Oryzias latipes: one gene and its partners. The protein of the gene in region 6 binds, or shares a complex with, the protein of the main gene of each other region. Links are inferred from orthologs where the notes say so. Each region holds a gene or a part of one and is shown on either strand. Other genes may lie near its edges. The genes, in order: rbm15b, rbm15, wtap, zinc finger CCCH domain-containing protein 13, mettl3 and cbll1.

Region 1 (5,374 bases), on a different chromosome or scaffold from region 6:
CACAGGTCAGGTGACACCAGGATACAAACACATAAAGTATGAAGCATAGAAACCATCAGGCTAGGCATTAGTGTTCTCAGTTCCACCTGAAGCAGAAAGGGCGGCGTGCTGCCTGTCGGGGCGACGACCTTTCTGCTTTTTTTAATTGAATGCGTCCCGGCGTGACTGTCGGAGGGGAACCTCGACAGAGGAGTCAAAACACGCCCCCCAGCAAACCATGGAAGGACTTGTAGTGTGGGACTGAGCCGGCACCAGACTCAATTAGTGTCGCTGACGATCACAATGACCATGTGCTCCTCGTCCAGATTACCCACAGTCCTCCGGGCAGCCTGCAGGAACTGCTGTGAGAACTCACCGGGGGGGAAGGCGTACAGCATCCCACCCGTGCCCCCCTCTTTGGTGGCAGGCAGACCAACCACCCCCGCCGCCTCTTTGTTGCGCAGGTATGTCACCAGGTGCCGGAGCAGACGTATCTGCAGTCCCGGCTCAGGGGCGGGGGCCTGGCGGTCGATGGCGCCCTGCAGAGCCAGCAGGATGGCAAAGCCGTCAGGGCGGCCGAGCTTGATGCGGCGCGACACCTCGTCCAGCCGGGTCTGGTCCATGCGCAGGCGCTGGGCAATTTTCAACTGGCTTGGCTGGTTCCGGTTCTGCAGATTCAGGCTGTCCTTCAAAACGCCGCTCAGGAAGGAGGCCCCTCCCTCCAGCATGTACAGCTCCGTGGGGAAGCTGCTGTTCTTCAAGGCAAAGAAGCCCTGCCACACCTTGGTGAGGGAGCCCTGGGCGTACTCCGACAGCGAGCTCAGGGTGGACGAGGTGTCCGTGTGGGCAGCGGGGGGGCTGGCGGCGGCCACGTCGCTGTTTCGATGGTGGTTGTTGACGCTCGCGGACCTCTTGCTGTGGTGACGGCTGGATGGGGGCTCTTCCTCTGTGGCATTTGCGTGTCGCCCCCCTCCACCACTGTCAGGGGAGTGGTCTCTTGGCTCAGTGGTGGAGTCCGGGGCTCGAACCCGTGCTCGGTCTGGGCTTGCATCAGGGGAGGCGGTGCCTCCCGGAACTCGAACCCTCGACCTTCCCTTTTCTTTCTCCTTTTCCTCCGACTGCTTGTCGACAGACAGACTTCTGCTTCTCCTGCGGCTCCTCCTCTCCTCCCTCTCCTTCAGCCAGCGTTCCCTGCTCCTGCTGCGGCTCCTCGCCCCTCGGCCAGCTCTTCCAAACGCCTCCACTCCTCCCACCCTCCTGTCCAGGCTTCGGGTGGGGCTGCTGGGAAACTCTCTCTCCAGCAGGACCCTCTCTCTCAAAGAGAGGAGGCTGTGGGAGGGCGGTGAGGAGCGCTCCCTGGTTCCTCTCAGCTCGCGCTCCAGGCTGCGATGGCGACTGTAGGCCTCTCCAAGGAGGTCATAATGCGTGGGGGGAGGCACAGGAAGCTGGTAACCAGGGGGAAATGGGCGGGAGGGGCTCTCCTCCACTTTAGCAAAGTCCACCCTGAGGCGGCGCTCTGGCCCGCCCAGAGGAAAGCCCCTCATCTGGGTACAGGCGGCCTGGGCTGCATCCAAACTTTCATACTGGATGTAAGCAAAGCTGTCGCCCTTCACATAGTCAATGTTCCTAATGCTTCCAAAGCGGTCAAATTCCCGCGCCAGAGCGGTCAGCGAGTTTCCTGGTCCCAGACCGCCCACCCACAGTCGGGTGGTGGGGTTGGCTTTGCCGTATCCGATTTTAATTGGGTTTCCACCAATAAGACGGCCCTGCATGGCCACTTTGGCCCTGTGGGCCATGTCAAGGTTCTGAAACTTTACAAAGGCATAAGCCCCGCCCTGGCCGCGTGCTGGCCGTTTGATGACCACGTCCTCAATGATGCCGTATTTATCAAACCCTCTCCTGAGTTCAGCCTCCGTCACATTCCCGTCCAGGTTTCCGATGAACAGGTTGCTGGTGGCCCTCTGGTCATCCTCGGGCTTCAGGTCCTCCACTACAGGCATGGGGGGGAACGCGTAGGGCCGCCCCCTCTCATCCAGCATACCATAATAGTCCAGCAGCCTTTCCCGGTCTCTGCTCAGACCCAGGCTCTCCAGCGCAAAGTGTCTGGCCCGGAGGTCCCGCATGCTGCTCACGCCGGTCCCGGGTGGGGACAAGGAGCGCTGTCTGTACGGATAGGGGGCGTGTAAAGGTAGATAGCTGACGTCCGGGGGGGTGACGCTCCGCCTCCTAACGTACATGGGCTCTATTTTGAGCTGTCTATCACCCAGAGCCAGCCGGGAGGACTTGGCGTGCCGGGCCTCCTTGGCGTCCTCCGGCTGTCTGAAATTGACGTAGGCGATGCGGCCGAGCTCCGGCGTGTGCGACAGCTTCACGCTCACGTCCCCGAACTTTTTGAATTCGTGGAACAGCGCGTCCTCGACGTCCTCGTCCGACACCTGCGAGCCCAGGTTGCTGATGAGCAGCGTTTTGTACTCCAGCGTGCCGGGTCTCGCGGCGGGGAGCTCCGCGGCCCGCAGCGGCGGCCGGCCCAGGAGGCTGAGCTCGTGTCGGTGGTGGAGCTCCAGCGCGGCCGCGCGCTCCTCCCGAAGGCGCGGCTTCTCCCGCTCCCTGCTGCGGCTCCGCCGGTGGTAGCTCCGGCTCTCCGCCAGCAGCAGAGCCAGCGGCGGCGGCGGCGGCAGCTCCTCTCTGCGGGCGCTCTCCCGTTCTCTCTCTCGAATCCGCTTGGCTAGGGCCCTGGATGGGCTGCCGTCTCTCACGGCCTGCCGCTTCATTTTCCAATAATGATGGAGAGTTTCAACTTTTTTTCCGAGCCTGCAGCGGAGATCCGGCGCTGCTGCGGATTCCGGGAGCGTTAGCTCGGAGACGGCGGCGGCGCAGGCTGCTTCGGTTAGGGGGCGCTTCCAGAGCGGGCTCCGAGTGGTCACACATTTACGGGGAAAAGAGGAGAAGCCTTTAAAAACATGTCAGCATCACAAGAGCTGCACCAGCGCCGCCATCTTGGACAATAGGAATGTGCGCGTTCCCAAAGGAGGGCGGAGCCTGTAGTGACGCAAGCACGTTGCACGTTTTGATTTGAAAACTCCTGCATACCAAATTGTCCTTGTTTATTAGGTTTATCCATTTTTCAAAGGAAATCAAAATAACACAGCAAGCAGATGATACTGCATTATTCTTAATAGACAGAAACCACATTGACCTTGATACAAGTATAATTAATTATTTTTCAAACGCTTCTGGATTACGTCAATAGAGATTACGTCTTAGTTTAGTTAAATGTCAAATATTATTAAAAAGTTAACCCTCGTGCTAACCTATGACCCCACCCTTGCATTGACGTGTTCTTCCTACCATGACAAAGGTGGATAAAGGTGGAAAGATTTCATGTAATCCATGGACACCAGTGAAGATCACAAATCATTGAAGAAAAAAGGTTCAGAGCACTGTCTAGTGGGTCTAGATGACCCAACTCCCAATGTTAAAGTGCCTAGGATAGCACAAAGGTTAAAATGGTTAAAGAAAAACATGGTATCCCTGTTAAAAATGTAGTTACATATTTAGGCACCAGTATAACAATGGACAGAAAATCTAGACAAACACAAAACTTCTCCTTGAGAATTAGAAAAAATGCAAGATGTCATGAATATGTGGCTTCAAATAGATCTATCTATTTTTGGCGGGATCCTCTTGGCTAAAGCGAAAGGTATCTCAAGAGAAATTTCTCCTAATCTATCCTTATCTTTACTTCTGTTCAACTTCCAAAGAAATAAACAACCTCTTAGTTAACTTTGTATGGAAAAATAGACGTCACTATCTTCAGAAAGAACTATTTTATGCCCCCTCATGCAAAGGAGGTTATGAACTCCTACATTTCTCAGATTTGAATTATACATTTAATGGTTACTGGATTCAAAAAGGCCTTTAAGACTCAAAATCAATTTGGTACTTTATCCCATTTAATATTTTATAATAAAATCGGGGGTCTTCAATTTCTTTTTAAATGTAAATATCAGAAAGACTCCTGTCAATCTTTAAAATTTGTATCTGCAAGTTTTGTCGTGCCTGGACGTTATGCTATGCACATTATTTCTCACCAAACAAAAGTATAACTTGGAACAATGATGATATAACCATCAAAAATTTGATCTTTTTGATGAGAATGGCAGCCATCGATTATGACAGGTTCTTCAATAAAATGTGTTTTCCAGTAACAAGCAAAGAATTCAAGAGTGTAATGAAAGCTCTTGTCTCAGGAGTAATTCAACTACTGACTTCTAACCTTAAATATCACGAGGAATCTGAAATACACCCTCCTTTAACACTTAATGGTATTGATATTTTCAATCAAAAAATTGCAACAACAAACACATAATACTTTTAGCGAAAAAAGAAGCATAACACCTAAAGGAGAAATTTATTGGAACCATATTTTAAATTATATCAATTGGAAAAAAAGCATGGTTACTGCCAGATACATTTTGAATAAACAATAAAGTTAAAGAAATACATAAAAGAATTTCAAATAACATTTACCCCACAAATATGTTCATTTCTAAATTCTAAAGATAGATAGAAAATAACTGTAGTTTTACTTAAATCAGTTCATCACCTTTTCTACTGTTGTACATCCTTTCACTTCTGGATCCGTTTAGAACAATTTAAAGAAACAAAGTAAACTAATACATTTCAAACAAATTCTACACATTTTAACTTTGGTGATAAAATGGTAGAAAACGTTATTAATTTGTTGCTTCTCCTACCTAAATTTTTCATACAAAAGGGCAAAGTAAGAGAAAAAAAACTCCCAAATTTACTGGATTTAGGATAAGAGATTTGTCAAATTTCTTAAAAATATTAATACATCCAAGGCAATTTTTTGTAAACATAATTTTTTTACCTATACATATATATTTAATGTTTTAATTTCGTACTTGCAAATTTTCCTTTTTGTTAACTATTTCCTCATTAATCTTTTATATTCTGTATTTCTTTTTTTGAAAGATAATATTGGTTATTGCTATCTGATGGTCTGCTTGGTGATGTGATGATGTGTACTTTAATACAGTAAAAAAAATACGTACATAAAAAAAGAGTAGTCTACATGTGGGGAGCATTGAAAAAACAAAACAAAAGCTGCCTTTTTTTTTGTTGGCAAAGAGGGAAAACAGATCAATAGAGGACACTGCATCTTATGGGGTCCAGATGACCCCACCCTTACATTGACGTGTTCTCCCTACCATGACAAAGGTGGAAAGATTTCATGTAATCCATGGACACCAGTGAAGATCACAAATCATTGAAGAAAAAAGGTTCAGCGCACTGTCTAGTGGGTCTACATGACCCAACTCCCAATGTTAAAGTGCCTAGGATAGCACAAGGCTAGGATAAATAGTGCCTA
Region 2 (5,609 bases), on a different chromosome or scaffold from region 6:
TGTGTTTTAACCTTATTGGAATATCTGTTCTCCCTTTACAACAAAAATATTTGTTACTGCCATTCTATAACAGTTAATAGAACCATTTATTTCCATTTCCTCAAGTATCTTGAGTTCACAATTTACTCAAAGCAGAAAGAGCTGACAATTCACTGCACTTTAGGTGAAGGTAAGGGGGGGTTTGCTGTTTTTTTCAGAATACCAACAATAACACCATCAGCACAGGCTGAGGTAATGCAACATAGTGGATCAGAAAAAAAATGATCTAAAAGCAAAAATTAAATAAAGTCATTTTTATATGTTGGGCTTCTTTTATCACCGAGTTATTGTGTAAATACTCTGAGGTTTTTCATTCTTGCAGAACATCTGAATTTTAACTAATAAATCCCCAAATCATCAATTTGTAATGAAGCATTTGTGACTGATCAAATTCAAATACTCACTTGATATTTTTAAGATGAACCTTTTAGTTTGGTTGCAGGGCACCATATGTCTTTTTAGTGAATTACATGGCACCTTACAAACACTCAAGAACCATACTAGTGTACCCCACAATGCAGAACACAGCATGCAATAATTACTGACAAACAGCAGACTTGTTTTTTCTTATATTCCACTTGAACATAGTGCATTGTGACTTTTTCTCTTTTTTTTTTTTTAAGATGCTCCACGAACCACAATCATGACCAGATAGTCTTCTTCGCTTTTTGCCAGAGCTTTTGCAGAGGAATCCAGGAATTGCTGAGAGAAATCACAGGGGGGGAAAGCATGAAGAACCCCTGTGTTGTCTTTATCTCTGCTCCCTCCCACAGGCAGACTGATGACCCCAGCTGCTTGTTTTTGGTTGAGGTAGGACACCAGGTTGCGAAGGGGCCGCTGGGTTGAGGCCATAGGATCAGATGAAGAGGAGTCCTCTGTGCTTCCAGGAACTGCCAACAGGATGGCGTAGCCGCCTGGACCGGCGACTTTGATGCGCCGAGACACCTCATCAAGCTTTGGCTGGTCCAGACGGAGACGCTGCGTGATCTTTAGCTCGCTCACCTGCCTTCCGGTTGAGCCGTCGATGAGCAGGTCGCTGGCGACGCCGTAGTCACCTTCTAGGAGATGCATGCTGGCTGGAAAGTTGCTGTTCTTCAGGAGCAGCATTCCGCGCCATGCCACAATGAGTTTGGTGCCATCAGGTTTGGATTGCTGGGCTCCTTTAGAGCTGCTTTCAGAGCGTTCTCTCTTGGCAGGCACTTTGCCACTGTCGCCCGCTTTGCGTTTCCGCTCACCAGCAGATGAGAGTCCTTTCTCAGAAAGACTCTGGCTTTTAACCCTTCGATCCGCCCCACCTCTTTCAAGGCTAATGACATGTTCTCTGGCTGGTGAGGCCGTTTCACTGTGCACAGGATGCTCAGAGTCACTGAAACGTCCTCCGTCTCTGCTGCTGCCCCCAGGACTGCCATCTGGAGAAGAACGTCTACGTCTCACTGTCCTCTCAGTGCTGTCAGGAGAGTGATCTAGGTGACGGCCATCCTCCAATAAGCGTCTCTTACGTCCTGGTTCTCGCCCTTGCAGCTCACGCTCCAAAGACCAAGGCTCTCGAGTTCTCCGGTCGCGTTCCAAATGTTCCAGAGGCTCAAAGGGGGATCCCCGGACCCGCTCACGAATGGCCGGGTTGGGCCACTCCGTTGCTGGAAAGAGTTCTCTGTCCCTGAAGTGAAGTGGAGGTGGAGTCCGATCTCTGACTCTCAGAGGTTCAGGCGTGGCGCGGTGGACAAACGAGTCAGCCACCATGTCAAACGGTGGAATAGGGAGAGGCTGCAAGAACTGCTGCTGGTACCGGTGCTCAGTGTCTGCGAAATCCACCCGAAGTCTTCTCTCTGGGCCTCCCAGCGGAAAGCCTCTCATGTGTGTCCATGCTGCTTGAGCAGCATCTAAACTTTCATACTGGATGTAGGCCCAAGTGTCACCTTTTCTGTAGTCAATGGTCCTTATAGTGCCAAAGCGATCAAATTCTCTGGCCAGGGCAGCTAAAGGAACCCACGGTCCAAGTCCACCGACCCACAAACGGGTCGTGGGTGTTGCTTTTCCGTAACCGATTTTTATAGGGTTGCGACCCACTATTTTTCCAGACATGCTAAGCTTAGCACGATGAGCCATGTCAAGGTTCTCAAACTTAAGAAATCCATATGTGCTGGTCTGTCCTCGTGATGGTCTCTTGATGTCCACCTCTGTTATGACTCCAAACCTGTCGAAAGCCCGCCTGAGGTCTGCTTCTGCAATGTTTATGTCCAAGTTGCCTAAAAACAAAGTCCTGTTTGCTCTTTGGTCGTCTTCCGGAGATATTAAATCCTCTTCACGAAAAGCTGCTCGCTCTGCAAGGAAAGCTGGACGTGCCCTGGCTTCAAACAGGGCGAACTCTCTGTCCCGGTCCAGTTCTCTGGGCAGAGGGGGCGGAGGGGGAGGAGGGAGCCGTCCCAAAGCCAGCTGCTGCAGCCGGTAGTCTCTGTAACCCAGGCCGGTGGGCGACAGGGGTCTCTGCAAGTGTCTGTGACTTTGTGCTGCGCTGTACAAGTCCCTCTCCACGGGGGAGCGGCTTCTCCTCCTGCTCGTGTAAACGGCCTCGATCTTCAGCGGCCGGTCGTAGAGCACGAGCCGGCCTCTGGCGTGTTTAGCAGCCCTGGCGTCCTCCGGCTTCCTGAAGTTAACGAAAGCAATCCGTTCGTCGTTGCTGCGACTAATTTTGACGCTCACGTCGCCAAACTTTTTGAATTCATGAAAAAGCCCATCTTCTATATCCTCCTCGCTCAGCTGATTCCCAAGGTCGCTGATTTTGAGTGTTTTGTACTCACTCTCGGTGCTGGGCGGCGGAACACGCTGCTCCGCGCGCGAAGAGGCTCGCGGGGAGGCTAGGTCTAGCGACAGGCTCAGGTTGTGGTTTTTACCCACGGAGCTGGAAGCAGCAGACTGACAGCTGTGATTATTTCCAGTCCGACTATGGCCCTCAAAATCTCTGTCCCTTTTCTCACCCAACAAGCTCCGTCTCGTTGAGCCGCTGTCGCTTTTGGACGAACTGTTTCCATTATTACTCCCACTGGAAACGGAGAGAGCCCCCATTTTCTTGCTGGTCGGGTGGCATCCTCCCCTCTCTCGAATGTCGTCCAAGGCCCGGGACCGTTTTTTAATCGGCGACCGCTCCTTTCCTTTCATTGCAGCCCACGAAGAGTAAACTCTTTGTGGTAACTGGCTTTTTCCTGCACTCCTTCCACAAAATAATGTAGAAAATATCCAATACGTTCAAAGAATTTATTTACCGACCCTGCGGCAAAACAACAACAGTCGCCATTTTGTTAAGATTTGTGAGAAGACCCGCCTCCATGCGCTGATTGGCCGGTGTTTGGGGGGCGGCGATTGGTTAAAACCTTTTAAAATCCCGTCAATCACGCACACAGCGATGGATTAAAAAATGGGTCATTTCAGAATAAACCTATTTTAAATAATCCACATGCAAAACTAAGTGAAAATAATTACTGAAAATAATTTAAAAAATGCCAAATAAGCTCAATGTACCCCCTAAAATGCATTTTTTCTTGTCCCGTCCCCCATTGTCCAAATTAAATCTTCAATAAAAGCAGTTAAAATTAAATTTTAGATTCAGTTTTTGGTATATCTTGTTTTGATTGGTGTTTTATGTAACCGTGGGATTTTTTTAAATAAAAGAAGTATTTCAAATATTATTTATGATCAATACAATGTGTTTCCCACCGAATCCACACAATTCCTTTTACCATAACAGGTAAGAGGGTTAGAATATAGCAAAGAGTGATATGCTGGACTTGACATCATCAAACAGTATTCAAAAAGAATGGGTAGAGCAAAAGTTACGTGGATCTTTTATTTTTAACACATAGTTATCCTAGATTGAATGTCTCACTCCGCCTCATGCAACCCTGTTTCCCTATAATCAGAGTAAGACAATTATTGTTATTGTTGTTGCTTTTTTATGAGTAAGTAAGCAATCAAATTAGCATGTAAAGTAGCAACTGAGAAAAACAAGATATCACCATTCATTCTGGGGTGGTCAGAAATGCAAAAAGGCATGCCATTGAAATCACATTAATTTTCTTATTGGTACTCAGTGACAGCTAAACAACTAGCGTCTACTCCTGAGAGAAAGTCAATATTAATACATGTTTGCAACCCTGTTACTTGCAAAAATTGATAACAAGGTTGCATCAAGTCTTGTCATCATCAATATAATGTCATAAATATTTCGCAGTTGATCTGTAAGCAAAGTTAATCAAGCCTTTGACAGATATTACCTTTTATTGACGATTATATAGCAGAGAATTAGAAAAGTCAAAGTTTGCTCTTCATGAATTTTGCAGCCCAAATGTCCTCCAGTTCTGGAATGACCCAAATATCAACATATTAACTGAATATTAAAAGATACAAACAAAAACACATGGACATGTTCCATATGATTTATTTTCTAAATCGGAAGCCTCTTTGCAAGTGTCCAGAAAGTAGTGAAACTGGAAGTATGATTTAAAATTTTTATTCATTTTTCATTTTGTTTTACTGTATGTATGTGTGTGTGTTCTGAATTTGAGGTGTAAAGTGTATCAGGCATCATTCGAATTTGCTTTTAACGGAAGACAGGTGTTCTTTAATGTACCACAAGATGGAAGTGGTCAAAAGGTCTGAAGGAAAAATAGGAAGTCAAATTTACCCCAAGCCTTGTTTGATCAAGCACACTTTTTTCAAGACAAGCTGGTAAATGTACTGGTCACCATGTCCGTTAGCCGAGGACTGTTGAGCGTGGAAACCACTATCCAGGATGAAAAATCCAAGATGCATGAATACATCAAGCTCAAGGCCCCAATTGACAGTGTGCTCTGTGAAAGTCTCAGGCAATGGGGAGCAGAGGATGCGGTGCTATAGGACAGATCCTCATGGGAGGACAAGCCCCTACATGGGATGTCCCATTGGACCATTAAGGAAGTGGCTTATGTCAAGAAGTCCTACCAATGGCTAGAAAGGCCTGGCCTACAGGACAGCACTGAAGCATTCATCCTGGCAGCGCAGGAAGTGCAACTTATTCAAGTTATAAACTGACCAAGCAGATGCCTCAATAAAAGCATGTGGTCAAACAACAAGAGTTAGATTGACTGATTCTCCAGAGCACACTTTCAAGTGGTAGAGGAGTGGACGTCCAACAAGCTCACTCCTGATTGGGGAGAGTGGTTGCCATAAAAATGCTATCTCAGGCCGACTCTGACTGATTACTGCTCATTAACGATTTCTGGTTCCAACACGGCGATGTTAAGAACTGCAGACTGAATTGACGAAGGTCTTTGGAACTGGAAGTATAAGCCACACTCTATGGGTGATGTCACACTCGCTTGGTCCAGTTCTCTTAAACAGTTAATGGCTAAATCATCTTTTGAAGGTTTTTTTTTTTTTGTTGTACAAGATGTGACGCTTAAACAGTTCCAATGTGAACAAAGGTCTGTAAACATCCATAAAAATTATTGCTGTACACGGTAAAGTAACCTATTTTAAATTGTTTTAATGATATGATGCTTTTAGTGAATTTGATAGATAACTGTGTTTACTACATA
Region 3 (5,185 bases), on a different chromosome or scaffold from region 6:
TTCTACAATTACTTTGTTTTTATATTCTATTTCCTTTTAAGATTACAATGCTATTGTAACACACAAATTTCCCATGTGTGGGATCAATAAAGTGATTCTGATTCTAAAAACAACATAAGCGTAATTACAAGACCACTGGGAAAGTTTTTAAAATCACTCAAAAGAGGATCGAAGTGGGACTTAAAACTAAGCGTCTAGACGCAGATTAGCCTAGATTTTGATCTATTTGAAAGCAGTTTTGTTACATTTTTAAAGGGAAGATGTTTAGGTGTTAAAAGCAGCTTCATAATGTGTGTGACTGGACTCTAACACCTGCCTGTTGCCTCCTACAGACACAGATCCAGTACCTGAAGCAAGTCCAGCAGCCGAGTGCAGCCCAGCTGCGGTCGTCCATGGTGGATCCAGCCATCAACTTGTTTTTCCTCAAAATGAAGGCTGAACTGGAACAGACTAAAGACAAACTGGAGCAGGCCCAAAATGAACTGAGTGCCTGGAAATTTACACCTGATAGGTAAAGACAATCAAAATATCTCCCCCCACCTAAAAAAAAAACAAAACAAAAAAAAAGTCAAGACTTCCTCACGTCCCCCAACCTCACTCTCACTGCAGGCATGCAGGAGCAATGGTGGGGGGGGGGAGAGGCTGACAAAAGCTGTGCTCACCGCGAGGCTCAGACTTGACAGAAATCCAGACACTCCCAAACCAAACTGCTTTTGCACTCTCGCACCGTGCCAGCTACACATCACACAATTTAAAGAGAAAAGACAGTATGGTCAGGTGACACTTGTTTCGGCTCTCTCCTCTTATATCCCCCCGCCGTCCAAAGGGCCCGATGGAGTCCGGACTGCTCTGAAGAGGTGGTCTCTCATTTCTCCACATGGAACTGCCTTCCATGCCCCCTCAGACAGTTCACATATTAAGTAGGGGGTCATGGGAGAAGTTGTGTCCGGCAGGGAGCATCCCTAGCCTAAAGCGGCAATCGAACATTTAAAAGACATTTAAAAAGAAAAAAGACATTTAAACTGTGGATTGCTTCACATAAACAGTAGCTGTCCTGAGAATTTGAAAGACTTTTTGGACTCTCAGATACATTTGAGTAACACCAGGAAAGTCTCTAGAATTTAAAAGTCAGAGACATTAGAAATGACAGTAAGACTGAGCGGAGCAAGTTGACAGAAGAACCACGTTCAGGCGTGAGGGTCTGCTGTCTTTGAACACGGGCCTGCACACGGTAGTGTACTTTTGTTTTAACCTTGTAATGTGTTTTTTGTTTCTTTTCTTTTTTCTTTGATTGACATTCCATTTGATCCTTCTTGTTTCCCTTAGACTCTTACTGCAGTGTGTGAATCCTGCAGCACGACGATCTTCTTTGACTTTGTTGTGAATGTTTTTTTTTTTTTGCACAAGTGACACTTTGGGATGATCGCATATCCAGTTATTGCCGTAGGTGTGTTGAGTCCAGTAACTGAGTTGTAAACTGCAAATGTCCTTGGCACATTGTGTTACGAGTTGACCGAGATGTATTTATTCATTCTGTGTACTGTTTTTGATTGACCTAATCATTTTCCCCACAGCTTAATAACAAAAGAGTTACTCTTTATTTTTATTTTTTTTCATCGCCAGTGTGGTGAGATACTTGTGGACTTTTTGTTTGTACACTAAAATAATTAAGTCACGGTTCTCACCAGGTGAGATAAGAAATGTTTGACATTTATAGGGGTTTTACAAACATTTTCTTTCAACACAGGAAAGAGAAAACTTCAAATTCAAACCAGTATGATGAAAGTTAGAATTACTGAAAATGATGATAAAAAACTTTGGAAGTTTTTATTTTGTTGTTGATATAACATTAAGGCTCTGTACTTGGTATGGGTGACTTAATTTAATATAAAGGGAATGGAAGACATTTAATTATGGTCTACATGTCATTTTTGGATTCACTTTGGCTTCTTGAGTAGGGCACAATGACATGTCACCGTACTGTTTCAGACTTTTTGTGAAGCCAGCAGTATCAAGAGCTAACTGTACTGTGAAAAAAACTGCTCTTTATGTTTTTAAAAAAAAAAAGGATTGCATGACCTTTTCAACAAAGATTTCAAGTTTGAAGGTTCTTTTGTGGGTTTTTTTTTAAATCAAGATTTGACTGTGCTTTGTTTATAACTTTTTTTCCACATCCTGAAATATTTCCGATTCTAATTTTCTCATGCCTTTATTTTTTAGTATTAACCGTTTTCTATGTATAACACAATAACGTAGTTTAGAGTAAAACGATAGAATCGAAATGCCTTAAAAGTCAGAGCATCATTTAGGTTCATGGTTTCATATGTCTGTATTGAACAGGCATCAGACGGCATGTTTAGGTTACTTCAGACGTCTAACTGATGGAATGAAAATGCTTAATAATAGCTGTTAATGACATTGAGGAGTTCCTGGTAAACCCTTGGACAGCTGGAGAGTGAAGAGGAACAGGTCCATGCTAACATTCTGCCTGTTTTCACTTGGTTCACTGTGTGATGTGAGACTTGTTTCCCTTACAGCCAAACAGGGAAGAAACTGATGGCCAAATGTCGAATGCTGATTCAGGAAAACCAGGAGCTGGGGCGGCAGCTATCGCAGGGACGAATTGCCCAGCTGGAGGCTGAGCTGGCCCTGCAGAAAAAGTACAGCGAGGAGCTCAAGAGCAGTCAAGATGGTGAGGAAACGAAAAGCTCCCGTACCCAAATGTCCTCTGTGCATAGATTAAACTAAGCTTATTCTTACTTTCAGAGCTGAATGATTTTATCATCCAGCTTGACGAGGAGGTGGAGGGGATGCAGAGTACCATCCTTGTCCTGCAGCAACAGTTGAAAGAATCCCGTCAGCTGATTTCTCAGTCTCAGGGGCTCTCAGCCGGAGCAGAGCCCAGCAGGACTTCACCCGCTGCTTCCAACTCATCTGCTGAGCTGTCCACAATACAGGAGCCCAGCGCTGCCTCTGAAGCAACAAGCAGAGACTACGGGAGGGTGTCCAATGGTCCAAGCAATGGTAAGTCATCTCAGAGGAGGGAGACCACCACCCCACCCAACTTATACCGGGAAGTCAGTAGCACTGAGGAAGATTTCCCAATGTCCCCCATGGTGTCCAGCCCTGGTGACGCTGAGACCAAACTCTCCAACCACTCATCGGAGGTCCCCGGCAGTCAGACTGCTTCCAGGAGAGCTGGAGGACCTGTGGGTTTCGGAAACCAGCTGAGTGCGGGCTACGAGAGCGTGGACTCTCCAACAGGCAGCGAGACGTCATTAACTCAGCACTCGAATGACACAGACTCGACCACTGATCCCCATGAAGACAAGACTGCCTTGGTGACCAAAGGCGCTAGGACTGCAGGGTCAAGGAACACTCAGAATGGCCTGGAGGGCAACACGAACGCTGGTGCCGATTTGTAATGTACTTTAGAAAGTACTGTCTTTTTTTGTCTTTTTTTTATACAATCTACAAACAAGACAAAAGCTAAATAGTATGTGATGCAGCACTGCTGTCCAAGAAGTTTTTTCACTCTTGTCCCATTGTGTATCTTGATGCCTTTGTTACATTTGTGTAGCTTAACAGGGATATAACAACAAACACTAAATGTTCAATTTGAATTGTGTGGGATTTATGTTTAAAAAAACTTGAGGTTTCACTGGTGTTTATTTGGGCACATCATCTATGCCGTTAAGCTCATGACACTGAAATCCAGCATCTGGTGTTGTTAATCATTTCAAAAGGTGTTTGAATGACAGTAGTTTCACCAATACAAAGAAAGCAAGAACGTCATTTTTATGTTGGCCTCTTTTTTTTTTTTTTTTTTTTTACTTGGTTGGTTTTTTTAAATACAATTTTTGTTTTAAATTGGAAAAAGTTATGTTTGATAGACTTCTAAAATGTGAGTTCATATGTGTCATTCATATTCTGACTTCAACCCTTTTATGTACTGACCAAAAACAATAAAGATTTCTAATACTTTGATGGGGGAACTCGTTATATTTGTCACTGGCACCTATCATGAAGTACAAAATTACATAAGTATAAATTAAACACATTCAAGTAGTTATTTTTATGAGAGAAAAATATGAACGCAAAGCTAATAAACTTTTTTTATGCACCATTTGGGTTGTTTAAACATCCCTGAAGAATGAAAACAGTATTGTAAATAGTATTTACGGAAGTTCATTTTCAAAGACTTGCTATGAATCCTCCAGACCAGTTGGTGGCGCTGTTTCTCATATCAAGGGACTTGCATAAATACCATTCATGCGTTCGTTCATTCAGTTCAGTATCAACTGAGTCGTGTGTAAGTGAACTGACAGAAAGATTTCCTGAAGACTAAAGCTACTCCAGCATTCTGAACAAGATGAACGCCGAGCCTGTTGTTATTGTTTCTGCTGCACGTACTCCAATTGGTAACGTAGCTCATATATATTTACCATGATTTCTTTCATTTCATAGTCCCGTGAATCATATTTCGAATATTTTGTCAAGCCAACACAACATGAAAACATTTTGCATTTCTAACTGAATTGGTTTTACGCTTATCATGTACTTTTTTGTGGTACTTTCCTTCATGTTAAAGGTGTCTTTTGTAAATAGGAAGGTGGTTGTGTCCAACGCGCTGTGTATTTGCAAAGTTACGATTGGCTAGCTCCTGTGTCCGCAGTTTTCTCTTGTTTCTGATTGGCTGGCAGTCATAGGGCCACGGAACACAAGTTTGCTATGATTGGCTGTTCACTGAACGTCTGTGTGACGTAGGGCTCTAATCTTTACTCCTTTTATTGAATCACGATAATTTGGAAAAAAAAGATAGAGCCGTTAAACTGTAAGTTTATAACAACATAAAGTTTAAATATTGTTATTATTTTTACACACTAGTTCCATCGCCTTTTTCTCATTTAATTTATTTTTAAAGTTCAGCCTGGACAGACAGAGGACAAACATGATGAAGGAATGTGAACAAGTGAATCTTCTTTAGTCATGTTATTTTTTTGAAGTAAAGTTCAAAAGATTCATTCTAAGGCAATGTGATAAAGAACTTGCTACAGTGTAAATAATTCAATGCAATAATTTAACTAAAATAGTTAATTAAAAAACAAAATTGTGTGTTTGTATTGGTTTGTTAGTTGTGCTTTTATTTGGTCAATGCTATTCCTAAGGTTAGTATTTCTCAGTG
Region 4 (4,885 bases), on a different chromosome or scaffold from region 6:
GAGAGAGAGAGGGAGCAAAGGGAGCGAGAGAGGCAGCGGGAGTGGGAGGAACGGGAGAGGGGGAGGGAGGAGAGGCGGGAGAGGAGAGACGACGTCCGGGAGGATCGGTCCGTTCGAGACACCCGGGAGGATCGCAAGCTGAGGTATGTGTGGATGCCAGATCTCTGAAATGCAGCACGGAGTCACCATTTATGATAATTAGCAGAAAATTAGGAGAAAAATTGCTTTACATTGGACAAAGAAAAGATTATATATTTAAAAGGTGAACATTTCATGACAATAAAGGTGTAAAATTAAAGAGAGAGTCAAAGTTTATGAGAATAAAATTGTGAAGTTATAAGAAAAAGTCTAAATTTTTATAAAAGTACAATTATTTTTTAAAAAAAAGGACATTTTACGAAAACAAACAGACAAATATGAGAAAAGGTTACAAAATAAAGTTGTGATAAATAAATAGTCGTACAATTATAAGAAAAAAAGGCTAAATTTTATCAGAATAATAATGAACTATAAATTATGGAAAATGACATTTAAAAAAAAAAAGACTGATGACATCACACGGCTCAAATATCTCACTAAATCTGCTTAACCTTTTTCCGTGACAAAGCAAGACTTTATAAAGTACTTTTTTCCCCCAATATTTCATGACAATATTCTTTATTCTCATAATTTTATATTTTATTTCCTTATATTCCATTGTAGAGATGCAACACACTTCAGTTTTAGACTTCTTAAATCAGAAATGTGTTCATCCAAAAGTAAAAAAAAAACGATATATGTGTATGTTTAATGTTTAAAAAAAATGATTTCTATTCCTTTTTAGTCGCAAGAGAGCGCGGGTGGAGAGCAGCCCAAGCCCCCGACCCTCCCCGAAGCGGGCGGCGAGAGACTTGAGCCCGGCCGACAGCGACGGCTATAATAGTGCCGAAGATAAAAGTGAGCGCCCTATTGGCCGAGGGCCGGCCAAGCTCCACCCACAGCCCCTCCTCCCCAGCCCCGTGTGTCTGCCTCCATCTGACAGTAGGAAAAAATCTCTTTAAAACAGACGCACTCCTGTTTTTGGAGGAAATGCGCCTCTGCAGCACTTTCTCAACCGGCATGCTTTGACTTCTGGTTTGGCTAAAATGTTTTTCATTTTCTGGCTGTCGGTGCAAATTTTACTGTCAGACAAAAAAATGTGGAACTTTTACCAAAGCAAACGTAGTTTTTCTTGGAAAATCTTTGCTAATGTTGGAGAAAAAAACGCTTTGAAATATCGACTGTTTCCTGTCCAGGTGGAGACAAGCACCGTCTGCACAGCCAAGTGGTGAGACCTCAGGATCGCCTGTCGCGGTCGCCACCGAGAGGCGCCGCTTCGGACGACAAAGCCCCCCACTGGAAAGACGAGGAGCGCCGAGGAGCTGCGGAGAAAAGGGAAGCACGGGGCCGAATCGAGGAGCCGGAGCCTCGCAGCGCGGAGCGATGCCGAGGAGCAGAGAGGCGCGGGGAGTACCTCCCTGAAGCCGAGACCCGCGGTAGAGGGAGAGACCAGCGCGAATCGAGTCCTCCGCCGCCGCCACCGCCGCCTCTTGCAGCCATCGCCACTCGCGGTGAAGACAGAGACACTGCTGGCTCTCAGGCCAACGAGGAGGGCAAGAAGAAGGTGAAGTCGCAGAGGAAGGGCATGAAGAAAGCTCGGAAAGAGGATGGAGCCGCCTGTGGAAACCGTCTCGCTGCTCCGGCGGAGCGGTTCAACCCTGAGCCTCCGCCCCCCGCCTCTGCAGACGTGCCTCCGCTCATGCCCTCACCAAGGAAAGGAGCCAAGAAGAAGGCGCTCGACCGGAAGAGGAAGCGGTCGCGAGGAGAAGACTCTGAAGCCTCTGAGGAGGACGCGTCGGCGCCTCCGCCTCACAGTAAGAAGAAGAGAGGACCTCGGACTCCACCCCCCTCCATGAGGCCGGACCACCGGGGAACCGGAGGCAACGCAGAACCGTCGCCGCTCTCCAAAGTGGACAACTTCAGTGACTGGTCGGACGAGGAGGTGACGGACCGGAGCGTCCCTATGGAGAAACAAGCCCCTCCCAGTTCTGGAGACAGAGCTCCGATGGAGACTCTGAGGAGAGGCGGAGCCCCCAGGATGGGCAGAGACAGGTGTAACCCACCTGCCATCGCCCCGCTGCTTTCCCAGGACCCCCCCATGCTGATGCAGACTATGGCCCCGCAGCCTCTCATGTTGCAGCCCGTGCTCCGCAAACTGCCCCCGGAGCAACCGCGCAGCAGCAGCATGGGGAGCAACCAGAGCCGGACGTCCTCCCGGCGCCCCCGCTCACCGTCCAACGAGTCGGGACACAGGGACGACCACCAGGGTCTGCGGCCGCGCCGGGGACGGCTGCATGGCGCCAACTCCCGAGATCGGGAGAGGGAGCGAGAGCGCGAGAGGGAGCGGCCGGCGCTCGGGGACGCTCCGGGAGCTGAGAGGAAGTCCAGAATCGACCAGCTGAGGAGAGGAGAGCCCAGCCGCAGCACGTCGTCAGGTACGTCTTCATTCTCAAACCGGATTTCCGCTGCTCCGTGCAGTGCACGCGTCTGCCTTGCGTTTCATGAGGAGTCTGTCAGTTAGTCTACATGAGCTCTATTGCGTCTCCAAGATCTTATAAAGTTCTATTTTGAATCCCACACCTGTTTCCTGTTCCTCTGGCTTTTTGATGGGAAATACTCCTGTAAAAGACGGACGTCAGACACGACGGAGGCGATGTACGCATTCCCATTGATTATTGGACGTTCTATTTTCTTGCCTCAACGCAAAGGAGACAAACTGCAGGCTTTATTCCGGGTAATCCAGATCCTGGAGATCCACCACCCACCTGCTGGCTTTTGGTTTCCTGGGTCGGGTGACTCCAGGATCTCCACCACCAGGGGTGGGAAAAGTAGTGGCCTAAACCTCGAATATTTGTAATCCAGCAGAGTCGTTTGTTTCACAGACCGTCAAGACTCCCGCAGCCACAGCTCCAGACGCAGCTCTCCCGACTCTGAGAGGCAGGCGAGGTCCAGGTCTCGAGCCGGCTCCTACGACAGCCGGGAGCGGGACCGGGAGCCGTTTGACAGGGACCGAGAACGCGACCGAAAGGAGCTGCGGCCCCAGCAGCAGCCGCAGCAGCCGCCGCTCCTCCAACAGCCCCTCCAGCAACAGAGAGACTGGGAGCCAGAGCCCAGAGACTGGCAGGGCCGTGGGCGGGAGACCCTCGGAATGCGCCCGGGTCGGGAACCTTTGATGAGGGACCGCGACGCCAGAGACCGCGAGCGCCTTCTCCCCGAGGGGATCATGCAGCAGCACGAACGAGAGAGGGAGCGGGACAGGGACGGCAGGGCCGAGAGGGGAGCTGATCGGGAGAGGGAGAGGATGATGATGATGGACCTGCCGCCACTCGGAGACCCCAGGGCTCCGGGTCGAGGAGACGCCAGGCAGGAGAGGGTTGACTATGAGCCACTGCTGCCAAGGGAAGCCTTCAGTCCTGCAGAGGAGAAACCCAGCAACAGTCACCAAGCTGTGGGAGATCAGAGGGAGCTGGAGAAGAACGACAGCGTGGACGGTAAGGGCATTGACGCAGAGCCATCCTCTGGGACCTGTCTATAACCTGGAGGGAGTAAAATCCTACTAAAATTCAGAAAGTATTCTTCTTACCCTCACCTCCTCCTCTCCTTAAGGGATTTTGTGTGCGCTGTGTTTTCAGGCGACGATGACGCTAAAGAAGAGGAGCAGTCTGTGGCGTCCGTTAGAGAAGATTATGAACCAATCAGTGACGACGAGCTGGATGTGATACTGGCCGACAGTCAGAAGAAAGAAGATCAACCAGAGGAGGAGAAAGTCACTGGTACCGATAACAAAGCATTTCTTTTATCGTAAGTTTGTTTACAGCAAGAAAGCTTCACGCCGCACCTCCTTCGTCGCCGTAGGTCCTCTGGACGTGATCGACGTGGACTGGTCCAGCCTGATGCCCAAACAGAAGCAGGAGCCGCGGGCCGCAGGAGCCGCCCTGCTCCGCTTCACGCCGGGCGCCGTGCTCCTGAGAGCGGGAATCTCCAAGCGCCTCGCCGGACCAGAGCTGCTCGAACAAGTCAAGGAGGTGTGCAAGTCGGAGCTGGACGATCCCAAAGGTGAGCTCTCCAGACGAGCCCGCTGCGTTCGCTCCCTCCCCTCTGCGGTTCCTCCTCACGGCGCAGAATCTGTCCCGACAGACCTGGAGAAGCTCTTCGAACACGACCTGGGAGCTCTGAACATGGCGGCCCTCAACAGGCGGGTGGAGAGGGCCGGCTTGCTGAGCAACCTGGGGCCCTGCTGCAAGGCTCTGTGCGCTCGCCGGGACTTCGCCATCCGGCGCCAGCTGTTGAAAAACGAGAAGGTAGACGTCCTCATCACCTGATTTGTGCGAACACTCCCTCCTGAGATTTTCCTCTAAATCTTTAACGTTCATCTGCTTTTGTCTGCTCATTTAATGAACCATAAATGAATAATATTAATTGAGAATGAACGTTTTAGAGCCTGTAATCTGCTGTCATTTTGGGACTTTCTGTGAGCAGTTTACACTCCAGCACCTTCAGGAATCCGATTTTCTGGCCCCACCTTGACACCGGCTGAACTCTCTCGTCAGGGGTTGGCCAAGCAGTACCCGGCCACGCCTGTGGTGGACAACGACCTGCTTCAGATGAGCATCCGCCTCTTCAGAAGGACCGTGGCGGGCCAGACCTCAGCTCCGGAGAGCGCAGCAGCCCCCGACGCCGCCGATAGTAAGCTAAGCTCAGCGCAGCCCGAGGTCTGTGCGTCCTGAGAGTCAGACTCCAGAAACCGAGCCCCCTTTTTTTTTTCTCCTTTTTTTTTTTTAGTCCTGACAGGAAAAACGGATCAACT
Region 5 (4,730 bases), on a different chromosome or scaffold from region 6:
TTAATTGGTCACTCTAAATTGTCCCTATGTGTGAGAGTGTGTGGTGTGTTTGTGGACATTCTACCCTGCGACAGACCTCGCCCACAAGTGGCCGGGATAGGCTCCGGCAGCCCCGTGACCCCGAAAGGGAAAAACGGTTAAGAAGATGGATGGATGGATGGATCAGGAGCAGATAAAAACCCACTATTTGGAAAAGCTTTCAGTTGTGATGCAGCGTTTGAAATGGGCGGCAGAAAGTCTCCCAGCTCCGCTCCACTCTGATCCATCCACTGGCAAACAAGTAGATACAGTAACGTCTTCATTTTCCTCGTCTGAGCTGACATCCAGCTCAAAACTGTACGGCTGGATACCTCTGATATTGCTCGCTATTTTTGTTTCACCCCTAATACAAGCTGGGAGTGTTGAGGGGCTTTAAGCTAGCAGAAGAGCGTGTAAATAGAGGGTGATGGGATATCAGCAGAGGGTCACAATTCAGAGGCGAAGCCTGATGAACTCTTGCCGTTTTAAAGAAAAAATGTCTTTAGAAAAACAACACAGGCTTTTGGCCAAAACAGCATAATCATAATTAAAAGACGACTGGAAATGGTTTAACAATAGATATAAATATAGTCGGAGTCCGACTGTTAAATGTGTTTATGCGTTTTCTTTTCTTTTCTAATGCAATGTGTTGGTCCTTCTTGGTCTCTCAGACAGTGGGACCGTCCCAGATGGCTCTGCAGTCAGGAGTGACAGCCCGGCTCCACCAGCTCCATCCAGCTCTCAGGAGGAGACAGAAAAACCACCGGATCCTGAGCTGGAGAAAAGGCTGCTGGGATATCTGTCTGACCTGAGTCTTTCGTTGCCTATAGACTCCCTTGCCATCAGTAATGAACTCAACAATGTAAGGTGGTTTTCTGGGATCATTGAAGAACCTGTTGGATGCGGCGTTCTACACTATGATTTCTTTGTTTATCTGTCTGAAGCCTGAAGCTGCCGCCAGTCATGGATGCATCCAGAGCCTCCTGCTAAAGTTCTCAGCTCAGGAGCTCATTGAAGTCCGACAGCCCACGTCCGTCTCTGCCTCCTCCGCGGTTCCCTCCTCCACCGTCGTGGTGGCAGTGGATCACACCAAGCTGTGGGCCATGATTGGATCCGTGGCGGGATCCCAGAGGACGGCGGTCAAGAGGAAAGCAGAAGACGTGGCCTTCAGTAGCAGAGCCGGCAGCTTCTCGCCTTCCCTTCAGAGCTCTGCTTCTCCTCCACGCTCATCCATCTCCTCCCTGACGCCCGCCTCCTGCTCCCAGCTGACTGGCTCCTCTGCGTCGGGGGGCGGAGCCGAGAAGAAGGGCAGGAGCAACAAAAGCCAGTCTTCTCACGTGGACATGGAGATCGAGAGCCTGTTAAACCAGCAGTCCACCAAGGAGCAGCAAAGCAAGAAGGTGATCCAATGTTTTTCTCTGCCGGAAATGAATCCTCACTCCTGATGTTTTCACAGATAGAAAGACGGAGGAAAGCAAGTAATCAATGTTAAGAGTCTAAAGTGGGATTTCAATGTATTTTTACACATCAAGGGAACGTTCGTGTACAACACGGATAATCAAAACAGAGAAAATAAAACGGTGTCTGGTGTGTGTAAGATTAAAGTTAAACAGAAGAAAATATAAAATCCAAAAGTCAACGATTAATTTGCCAAGAGGAAATAAGTATCACCATTTTTAGCTTAGTAAACATTTCTTTTCTTCAAAATCTACACCCATAATTATGCATTGCTCAGTGATATTGACTGATACATTAGAAACGAATGTAAACCTCATACCTGGAGATCAACCAAGTCTTTTCTACTAAATGCTGTTGAGTTTGTCCAATTATCAAAACCATTAACAATGTTGAGCAGCAAAACCGTAAGGAAAATTGGACCTGTGTTTGGTAAATGTAAAGAAGATGAAATATTACAGGGGTCGGGAACCTATGGCTCGCGAGCCATATATGGCTCTTTTGATGGTCACATGTGGCTCGCAGACGAGAAAAATATTAGGTCTTTTCTGGCCAAAAAGTGGAAAAACGTTTGAAAACTGCGTGGACTCAAACCACGAGTATGTTTGATATTTAATAAAATAAACTTCACGTCCTAAAAGTTAAGAAAATTTTTAATTTATACTCTTGTAAAATATCCTTTTGAGACATTTTTGTGAATGAGATAATATTAGAAAATATTTATTTTATTTGTTATGATTGAAGCTTCCAGCTTTAAAGCTAAATGTTGCTTCATTATTTTTTACATTTTTGGGGTCTGTTTGGGGTCAAATCAGGGTCAGTTTAAAGGGAAGTGAAATTCCAAACTGGAAATTAGTAAAAAAAAAAAAAAAAAAAAGCAGTTTTAAACTCAAAATTACACATTCCTCTCCTTTCCTCTCTTTTCTTTTTCTACTGTTGGAAGAGGCTTGGTGTGAAATGTCAAAGCCGTGCAAATCAGTTGAATCTTTGGCAACTCTATTCTCATAGATGAAAAACTTGCTGTCATTGAATTCACAAACTACAATTCTTCATTTCTCCTCCATGATTCATGTTCAAATGGTTGCCACTTTTGTGAATTAAAAGGAACACCATCCATACGTCACTACTAAGTACGAGTCTCTGACTGAAGTTCAACCTGGTTTAACTTTCAACACGCATTCAAAATTTGTTTAGATCCGCTGGAAAGTGAGAGCTTTGAATGCAAAAGCCTCGTTTAAACAGAGCTTTCAATGAAAGTGCTCTTGTTGCCAGGGGCGATGTGAACAAAGCTCCACTCCCACATAAAAATGGTCTCAACACCAAGAAATGTTGAAAATACAAAACAGCAGCTGTGACAAAAAAACATAATTTTTCATTTGGTAACAGTTTTAGATTTGTTCTTTTTTAACCCCTCCAGACTCGAATTTATTTGCAACTGAAAAAAATAAATTCCACTTGAGTTTTTGCTTTCAAGTAGATGATAAATTCAGTTAATTTTGCAGCAGAAGTGGTTCGATGCACATTTACATCAATAGACATAAAGGGGGTTTTAACTTAAGTTTCAAACTTAATTGTTTTTCTGATTTTCAATATTTCTTTTACCGCAAGTTTGAATTATTTTTGTTTCAAATTTTCTTTTTCAAAGTTTGCTTTTTTTTATTTTCTTTTTAATGTAATTTACAATCTAGTGTTTTATTTACTTTCAGCTGATCGTCATTTGACCCCAGGTTGGAGGTCAATGCTCTTTCATCATCATCATCATGTTTCTGAACATGTGTGCAGGTGAGCAGAGAAATCCTTGAGCTGCTGAACGCCAGCACCGCCAAAGAGCAGTCCATCGTGGAGAAGTTCCGCTCGCGAGGACGCGCTCAGGTCCAAGAGTTCTGCAACCACGGGACCAAAGAGGAGTGCGTCCGCTCCGGGGACGCTCCTCAGCCGTGCACCAAGCTGCACTTCCGGTGAGATTTCTGCCTCAAAGCCCAACATTTGACCCCTCGACTTCTTAAAGCTCACTCTGGTTTGATGTTGCTGAATTAGAAGAAACCACTGTTTTATATTTATATTAGAAAAAAAAAACTACCTATTTCAACCTGAAGATGGCGCCATTTATCTAACAAAAAGCAGCTCATCTAACTATATAGCCATTGCTTTTTGACACACATCTCATTAAATTCTATGGATGAACTTTTTTTTTTTCTATTGCTTTTTTGTAATTTGCTTTAATTCTAGGATAAAATTCAGATTTTACATTTTTACTCTTCTCGCTCATCTTTTTATTCTTACATTTGTTCCGATCAGTTCAGGTTTTGTCCGTGAAGCGAAACGCTTTAAATTCATGAGCTTAAAGGTTTTTCTGCTGTTTCTGCTCCTCAGTCGCATCATCAACAAGCACACAGACGAGAGCCTGGGCGACTGCTCCTTCCTCAACACCTGCTTCCACATGGACACCTGCAAGTACGTCCACTACGAGATCGACAGCCCGCCGGAGGCCGAGAGCAGCCTGGGGCCGCAGACGGGGGGCGCGGAGGTCAGCCTCTGCGCGGGGGACGCCGACAGCAACGTGGGCACTCTCTTCCCATCGCAGGTGAGGAGGGGACATCAGGCGGAGAGCGCTTTTCTTAGCGGGAATTCTAGTCTCTCAGCAAAGCGTTTCCATTTCTCAGTGGATCTGCTGCGACATTCGTTACCTGGACGTGTCGATTCTGGGTAAGTTTGCTGTGGTGATGGCTGACCCCCCCTGGGACATCCACATGGAGCTGCCCTATGGGACTCTGACCGACGACGAAATGAGGAAACTCAACATCCCAGCCCTGCAGGACGACGGCTTCCTCTTCCTCTGGGTCACTGGCAGGTAACCAGAGCAGAGTTAGCATCTTTGATTCTTTTCTGCCTCATCCACCACCCTTTTATTCTTTGCAGCAGTGCTTAAAAACCCACTTTCATCATCTTGTGTTCCGGGGGCATTTTATGTATGATTTTGCCATTTTTAGCCAAAATCCAACAACCTGTGCAGTTTTCTTGAACATAATTTTTGCTGAGTTCATTAGAAACTCCCCTCAGAGTTATGGGCTGGACCGCTGGCGTGGAGCGTCCCCGCCTCCCTTCCCTTCGCCATTGCTAATAGCTCGGAGCAGGAAGGCTTGTGGCCCGTCCAGCAACGATTTAAATGAAGATTCAGAAATACAATTTTTGTCTTAATATTCTTCCTACATGTCCTCCATCATCAGAAAAACACCACAAGAACATGTTAAAAATTC
Region 6 (4,364 bases):
GCTGTCCCTGGTTAACTTTTGCGGGCAGCCTTTCTGTAGCCTTTTGAAAAAATAATTACTTTTAATAATGAGTAATATATGAAGCAGCATCAGCCATTCCATCACACCACTTCCTGACTGTTCAGCTAGTCTCCTTCATAAAGCAAATGTGGCCAGCCAACTTCTGCTTATTCCTGGGCAGCGTCAAGACAAAGGTAAGGTACACCCTGGAGAGTTTGCCCGTCTTTCACAGGACACACTTGGTGAAAACCCTGGAATGCACATGTAAACTCCACACAGAAATGTCCCAGCCAGAGGTTTGAACCAGGAAGAGTTAACCACTGCAACACCGTGCAACCCACTACAAACCTATGTTAGGTTGTAGTGTCCACCTTCCCCTCAAAAAAAGAATAAGAACAATTCATGTTTCTGATTGGTCCACCATCTATAGTAGAGATACCTCTACCAGAGGCATAAAAACATGAATATTAATATTCAAAAGTAATATTTATAAAAATGTTTGTTTGGAGGTCGTTTACAACTGAGCTGAAACTGTTAATGACTTCCATCCTATTTTTTTTTTAAAACATATGAAGAGACAGAGGAGATTGGTACTGTGCTGTGGGTAAAAAAAAAAAAAAAGTGTTTAGAACCCAAACATCCATTAGCACACAGAGTGTTATCAACATTGCAATAAAGTTTCTGTTTGGTGGAGTCTGAACATTCTTCTACACACTTGAAAGTCATGAAAGTCTGCTCAGACTCACACAAACCTTTTAGACACTGGATTTCATGTTTTTTCTGTGCCTGTTTCATCAACTCCATGACTTTTTAAAACACGCAACTTCTGACATGAGCAAGGACCTTTGGCCTTACATTCCAACTCTACTTAGCGAGCGATGGTGCTGCCATTCTCCCATCTTATGCCTCAAAGCAAACATGCAATGAGGACCCAGCTGTGACTTGCATTGTTTTCAGAAATCTTACAATTTTACAATTACACTCAAACAAGTCAAACTAGAATGTTAATAAGACATGACAATTTTTTTCATAACTATTGTGGGGGAAAAAAAGTCTTGCAGTTAAGACACCAAACGGTAGCACAAGTACAACTTTTTTGTGAGACTGGCATAAAAGTTTGCATCATTGTCCTCTGATACTTATTTCATCTTGCTGCAGGTTTTTTTCTATTTATAAGTCTCTAGTTTTTTATTAAATGTTGCAAAAAAATTGAATTTCTTTAAAGGAAATAAAAAACATACAGCAAAGTCCTAACATCTGGGTTTCCTAAGCTTTTAGGAGATCGCATTTAAAACATTTTTTTTTTTATTACAGCAAAAAAGAACTTCTGATGTAATCAACTCAGCTGCTCCCAACTCATCAAATAAAGACAAGTAGGTATGACATGAAAAGTTTATTGAGAATGAACGTCTTTCACTTCAGCATTGACATCAGCAGACGTATATACAGAGATCCTTTCCAATAAGCTATTAAAAAAGGGACATTCCTGCTCTTCTCCAAATTATTAGTGCGCTCATGGGGAAGTGGAGCACAGGTAACTAAAATGTGCACCATACACACATTTGAATGTGGGCAGTTTTATCCAAATCAAAGTTCTACATCCTGAAATCCTGAGGTTCACTATCACATTACTTAGACAAGCGGTATGGAAAAGAACAACACCGACGACTTCCCACTCAACCAGCTTTCAGTTTACTGGTAATAAGGTCGATAGCGGCCCTGATCTGGGTGATGGGGGCCTGGCATCTGTCCCTGGGGAGGTGGACCCTGCATTCGAGGAGGTGGGGGCCCCCTGGGAGCAGGCCACATCCCAGGACTGAGTCCTCCTGGCTGGTTAAACGGAGGGCTGAGGGTGCCCTGGTCTTCAGGGAACGGCTGCATGGAGTTGGGGTTGTAGTGGTGAGGTGGGGGGGCATTCACAGGAGGTCCGGTGTGCTGTGGGGGAGGTCCTGGAGGTGGGTGATTTATATAGGGGGGCATGATGTGCCCTGGTGGGGGAGGCGGGGCTGTAGACATGGGGGGAGGAGCCTGGTTGTAGACCATGTGTGGTGTCCCAGAGCCCTGGGGGGGGTGCTGCATTGGGTGACTAATAGGAGGAGGTGGACCAAAGTGCTGTTGAGGTGGCGCCATCATGTGGTGAGAGTGTGACACCACAGGCGGCTGCCCAGGATAGTCTCCAGGGTGGTGATGCGGGGGCTGGCTGGGGCATGGCCCACCAGGATGGGAATCCCGTGATGAAGACGAGTCATCTTGAATGGGCACTGTGATGAGATTGCTGTGTTTACGAGTTGTTACAGTGGCAATGCGAAACGTCTCTGGTCCCAGAGATGGAGTTGGGGGAGGCCCGTCATGGGGGGTCGGTGGAGGCGGCTGACTGTAGGGATCGTGACTGCTGTGCATTTGGTTTGGGAGGTGGACATGGTTCTTAGGGATGTGAGGAGGAGGCACACGGAAGCGATCAGAAATTTCAGGTGCTTGTGGCAGATGCACAGGATCCTGGCGGCCCGAGGAGGACTTGGTGGCTCTCATGTGACGGTGGTTCACGTGGGCTTGGAGGTCCCGCTGGGACAAGTAGGTGCGCTTGCATCCTGGTACAATGCTGCACATGTAGAGGGACCCTCGCTGGCACTGCTCGATGCGCTGAACTGGATCCGTGCAGTTATACAGACTGAGACTGAACACACATACAACAGTTGAGTCTCTTCAAACAGAAACCATAAAACTACAGGTTACGAGCAGCTTTTGCATCACACGTGTGTAAACCCTATCAAAATTCTCGAAATGTCAAAACAAATTTTTTTTCAATGACACTGTTTCCTTTAGATCCTAATTATGTGAATAAATACGAACCTACTCACGCGATAAATCATTAAAAAATATGGCGAGAGATGTGAACAATACTTTGACAACAGATCCAAATTTCTGCCATAGCACCAACGCTCATCATCATTTATCAGAGGAGCTGTGGACCCAACAATTCCACATGACACGCTCAACTTTTGATGAGCTGTGTGACGCTTTGGGACCTCTGGTGGCGCCCGCTGTGCATTCCCCAAGACAGCCAGTTCCTACCAAAAGACGCCTCGCCATCCGGTTGTTGGTCATGGGGCTCATTTAGTTTGAAAAAAGTGTTTCCATTGCAGTTTTGTGAAATATGTCAATTTGGATATGCCTCAAAAACAACCACCTCCAAGCACAAAAACTTTTTCTTTTTGATAAATACTAGCTTAATGTCGTGTTTCAATCAGGTAAATTTATTATCCTAAATCTAATTTGCGCTATTTCATATTCAACGAAATAGACTCGTGTGAGGGAAAAAAGTTACCCGTAACCAAGAAAGTGTTTTTTTTAAGGCTGCATTAAATCATAGCTTCAATGCTTAATAAATTGTTTCAAAACATTTTTCACTTAAAAGTGCTTTATGTTTCTAATTTTGCAACCACAAATGAAATTCCTCCAAATGTAAATTTACAGAGCAAAAATTATTATACTGCCATATATATATATATATATATATTTTTTTATTATTTTACTAATATTTTCCAATCTTTTGTCAATTTGTTAGTAACTTTTCTATTACGTTTTGTCATTAAGCAGCCACATAAAAAAACTGTTTCCAATTGTTCAATTAACAGAGAATTAAACAGAACTACACATTGAAGATGGAAACATGTCTCACCCTGGACACATCTTCTCGCCTTTCTTCTCATGAAGCAAAGCGCAGTCATAGCAGAAAACATGCTTGCAGGGAATCTGAAAGATGCAAGGTCAAGAGTTAAGCAAGAAAATGTTGACTGAAAATGACAGAAATTGAAATTCTGCACATACCATCCGTCCATAAAGTTGAATGGGGAGACCACATTTATCACAGAAGTGAATCGGAACTTCATCTCTTTCACCGATCAGATTTAGCTGTTGGAAAAGTCACTTAAAATGTTGAATCACATACTGGTAAAATATACTCAAAAACAGAAACTTTAACAGTATCGTTCAAAAAAACAACACCAATATAGACAGAACTCATTTTGATACTAACTTAGGCATGAAAATGCTCTTTCATGACACTGTCAGCAAAGTGAAACCGTCTTTATAGCCACCATACCTTACAGTCCCATAACAGAGGCTGCGGAAATCTTCTCTGACTTCCAAACACATCCCCAGCTTTAGCGCCACAGTCAAACCGATCCTCCTGCTTGAAGCCGAACTTTTCTGAGAAAGCCAGAGAATAACACAAAGATGCTAAAAAAGCCCACAACACCCACAGGGTGCAGTCCTCAGCTCAACCCCAGAAAAGTGCGGTAACATTTTTTAAAAAATTGTTAAATTGATTAAAACTAAATAATAATTATAAAGTTATTTAAAGA

Evidence for each region.
Region 1: cbll1 (region 6) and rbm15b share a complex: the UniProt entries of both Homo sapiens proteins name them as parts of the WMM complex. The link is inferred for Oryzias latipes from reciprocal best matches to the Homo sapiens genes CBLL1 and RBM15B.
Region 2: cbll1 (region 6) and rbm15 share a complex: the UniProt entries of both Homo sapiens proteins name them as parts of the WMM complex. The link is inferred for Oryzias latipes from reciprocal best matches to the Homo sapiens genes CBLL1 and RBM15.
Region 3: cbll1 (region 6) and wtap share a complex: the UniProt entries of both Homo sapiens proteins name them as parts of the WMM complex. The link is inferred for Oryzias latipes from reciprocal best matches to the Homo sapiens genes CBLL1 and WTAP.
Region 4: cbll1 (region 6) and zinc finger CCCH domain-containing protein 13 share a complex: the UniProt entries of both Homo sapiens proteins name them as parts of the WMM complex. The link is inferred for Oryzias latipes from reciprocal best matches to the Homo sapiens genes CBLL1 and ZC3H13.
Region 5: cbll1 (region 6) and mettl3 share a complex: the UniProt entries of both Homo sapiens proteins name them as parts of the WMM complex. The link is inferred for Oryzias latipes from reciprocal best matches to the Homo sapiens genes CBLL1 and METTL3.

What each region holds. Positions count from the first base shown.
Region 1 is NC_019863.2:6,226,641-6,232,014, reverse strand, and holds the start of rbm15b (putative RNA-binding protein 15B), read right to left. Parts: upstream 3,310-5,374; 5' UTR 2,751-3,309; coding exon 258-2,750; 3' UTR 1-257. UniProt on the Homo sapiens protein: RNA-binding protein that acts as a key regulator of N6-methyladenosine (m6A) methylation of RNAs, thereby regulating different processes, such as alternative splicing of mRNAs and X chromosome inactivation mediated by Xist RNA.
Region 2 is NC_019865.2:10,858,876-10,864,484, reverse strand, and holds the start of rbm15 (putative RNA-binding protein 15), read right to left. Parts: upstream 3,360-5,609; 5' UTR 3,196-3,359; coding exon 658-3,195; 3' UTR 1-657. UniProt on the Homo sapiens protein: RNA-binding protein that acts as a key regulator of N6-methyladenosine (m6A) methylation of RNAs, thereby regulating different processes, such as hematopoietic cell homeostasis, alternative splicing of mRNAs and X chromosome inactivation mediated by Xist RNA.
Region 3 is NC_019882.2:7,320,753-7,325,937, reverse strand, and holds the end of wtap (pre-mRNA-splicing regulator WTAP), read left to right. Parts: intron 1-332; coding exon 333-511; intron 512-2,537; coding exon 2,538-2,692; intron 2,693-2,766; coding exon 2,767-3,425; 3' UTR 3,426-3,987; downstream 3,988-5,185. Other genes in the region: acat2 (acetyl-CoA acetyltransferase, cytosolic), read left to right, coding at 4,373-4,421. UniProt on the Homo sapiens protein: Associated component of the WMM complex, a complex that mediates N6-methyladenosine (m6A) methylation of RNAs, a modification that plays a role in the efficiency of mRNA splicing and RNA processing.
Region 4 is NC_019860.2:22,017,124-22,022,008, reverse strand, and holds part of zinc finger CCCH domain-containing protein 13, read left to right. Parts: coding exon 1-143; intron 144-823; coding exon 824-1,020; intron 1,021-1,274; coding exon 1,275-2,513; intron 2,514-2,960; coding exon 2,961-3,569; intron 3,570-3,710; coding exon 3,711-3,851; intron 3,852-3,933; coding exon 3,934-4,134; intron 4,135-4,215; coding exon 4,216-4,379; intron 4,380-4,628; coding exon 4,629-4,805; 3' UTR 4,806-4,860; coding exon of another isoform or gene 4,861-4,885. UniProt on the Homo sapiens protein: Associated component of the WMM complex, a complex that mediates N6-methyladenosine (m6A) methylation of RNAs, a modification that plays a role in the efficiency of mRNA splicing and RNA processing.
Region 5 is NC_019876.2:17,632,714-17,637,443, reverse strand, and holds part of mettl3 (N6-adenosine-methyltransferase catalytic subunit), read left to right. Parts: intron 1-689; coding exon 690-880; intron 881-962; coding exon 963-1,418; intron 1,419-3,255; coding exon 3,256-3,431; intron 3,432-3,846; coding exon 3,847-4,057; intron 4,058-4,136; coding exon 4,137-4,324; intron 4,325-4,730. UniProt on the Homo sapiens protein: The METTL3-METTL14 heterodimer forms a N6-methyltransferase complex that methylates adenosine residues at the N(6) position of some RNAs and regulates various processes such as the circadian clock, differentiation of embryonic and hematopoietic stem cells, cortical neurogenesis, response to DNA damage, differentiation of T-cells and primary miRNA processing.
Region 6 is NC_019881.2:9,402,104-9,406,467, reverse strand, and holds the end of cbll1 (E3 ubiquitin-protein ligase Hakai), read right to left. Parts: intron 4,210-4,364; coding exon 4,103-4,209; intron 3,913-4,102; coding exon 3,829-3,912; intron 3,754-3,828; coding exon 3,680-3,753; intron 2,675-3,679; coding exon 1,693-2,674; 3' UTR 1,379-1,692; downstream 1-1,378. UniProt on the Homo sapiens protein: E3 ubiquitin-protein ligase that mediates ubiquitination of several tyrosine-phosphorylated Src substrates, including CDH1, CTTN and DOK1. Targets CDH1 for endocytosis and degradation.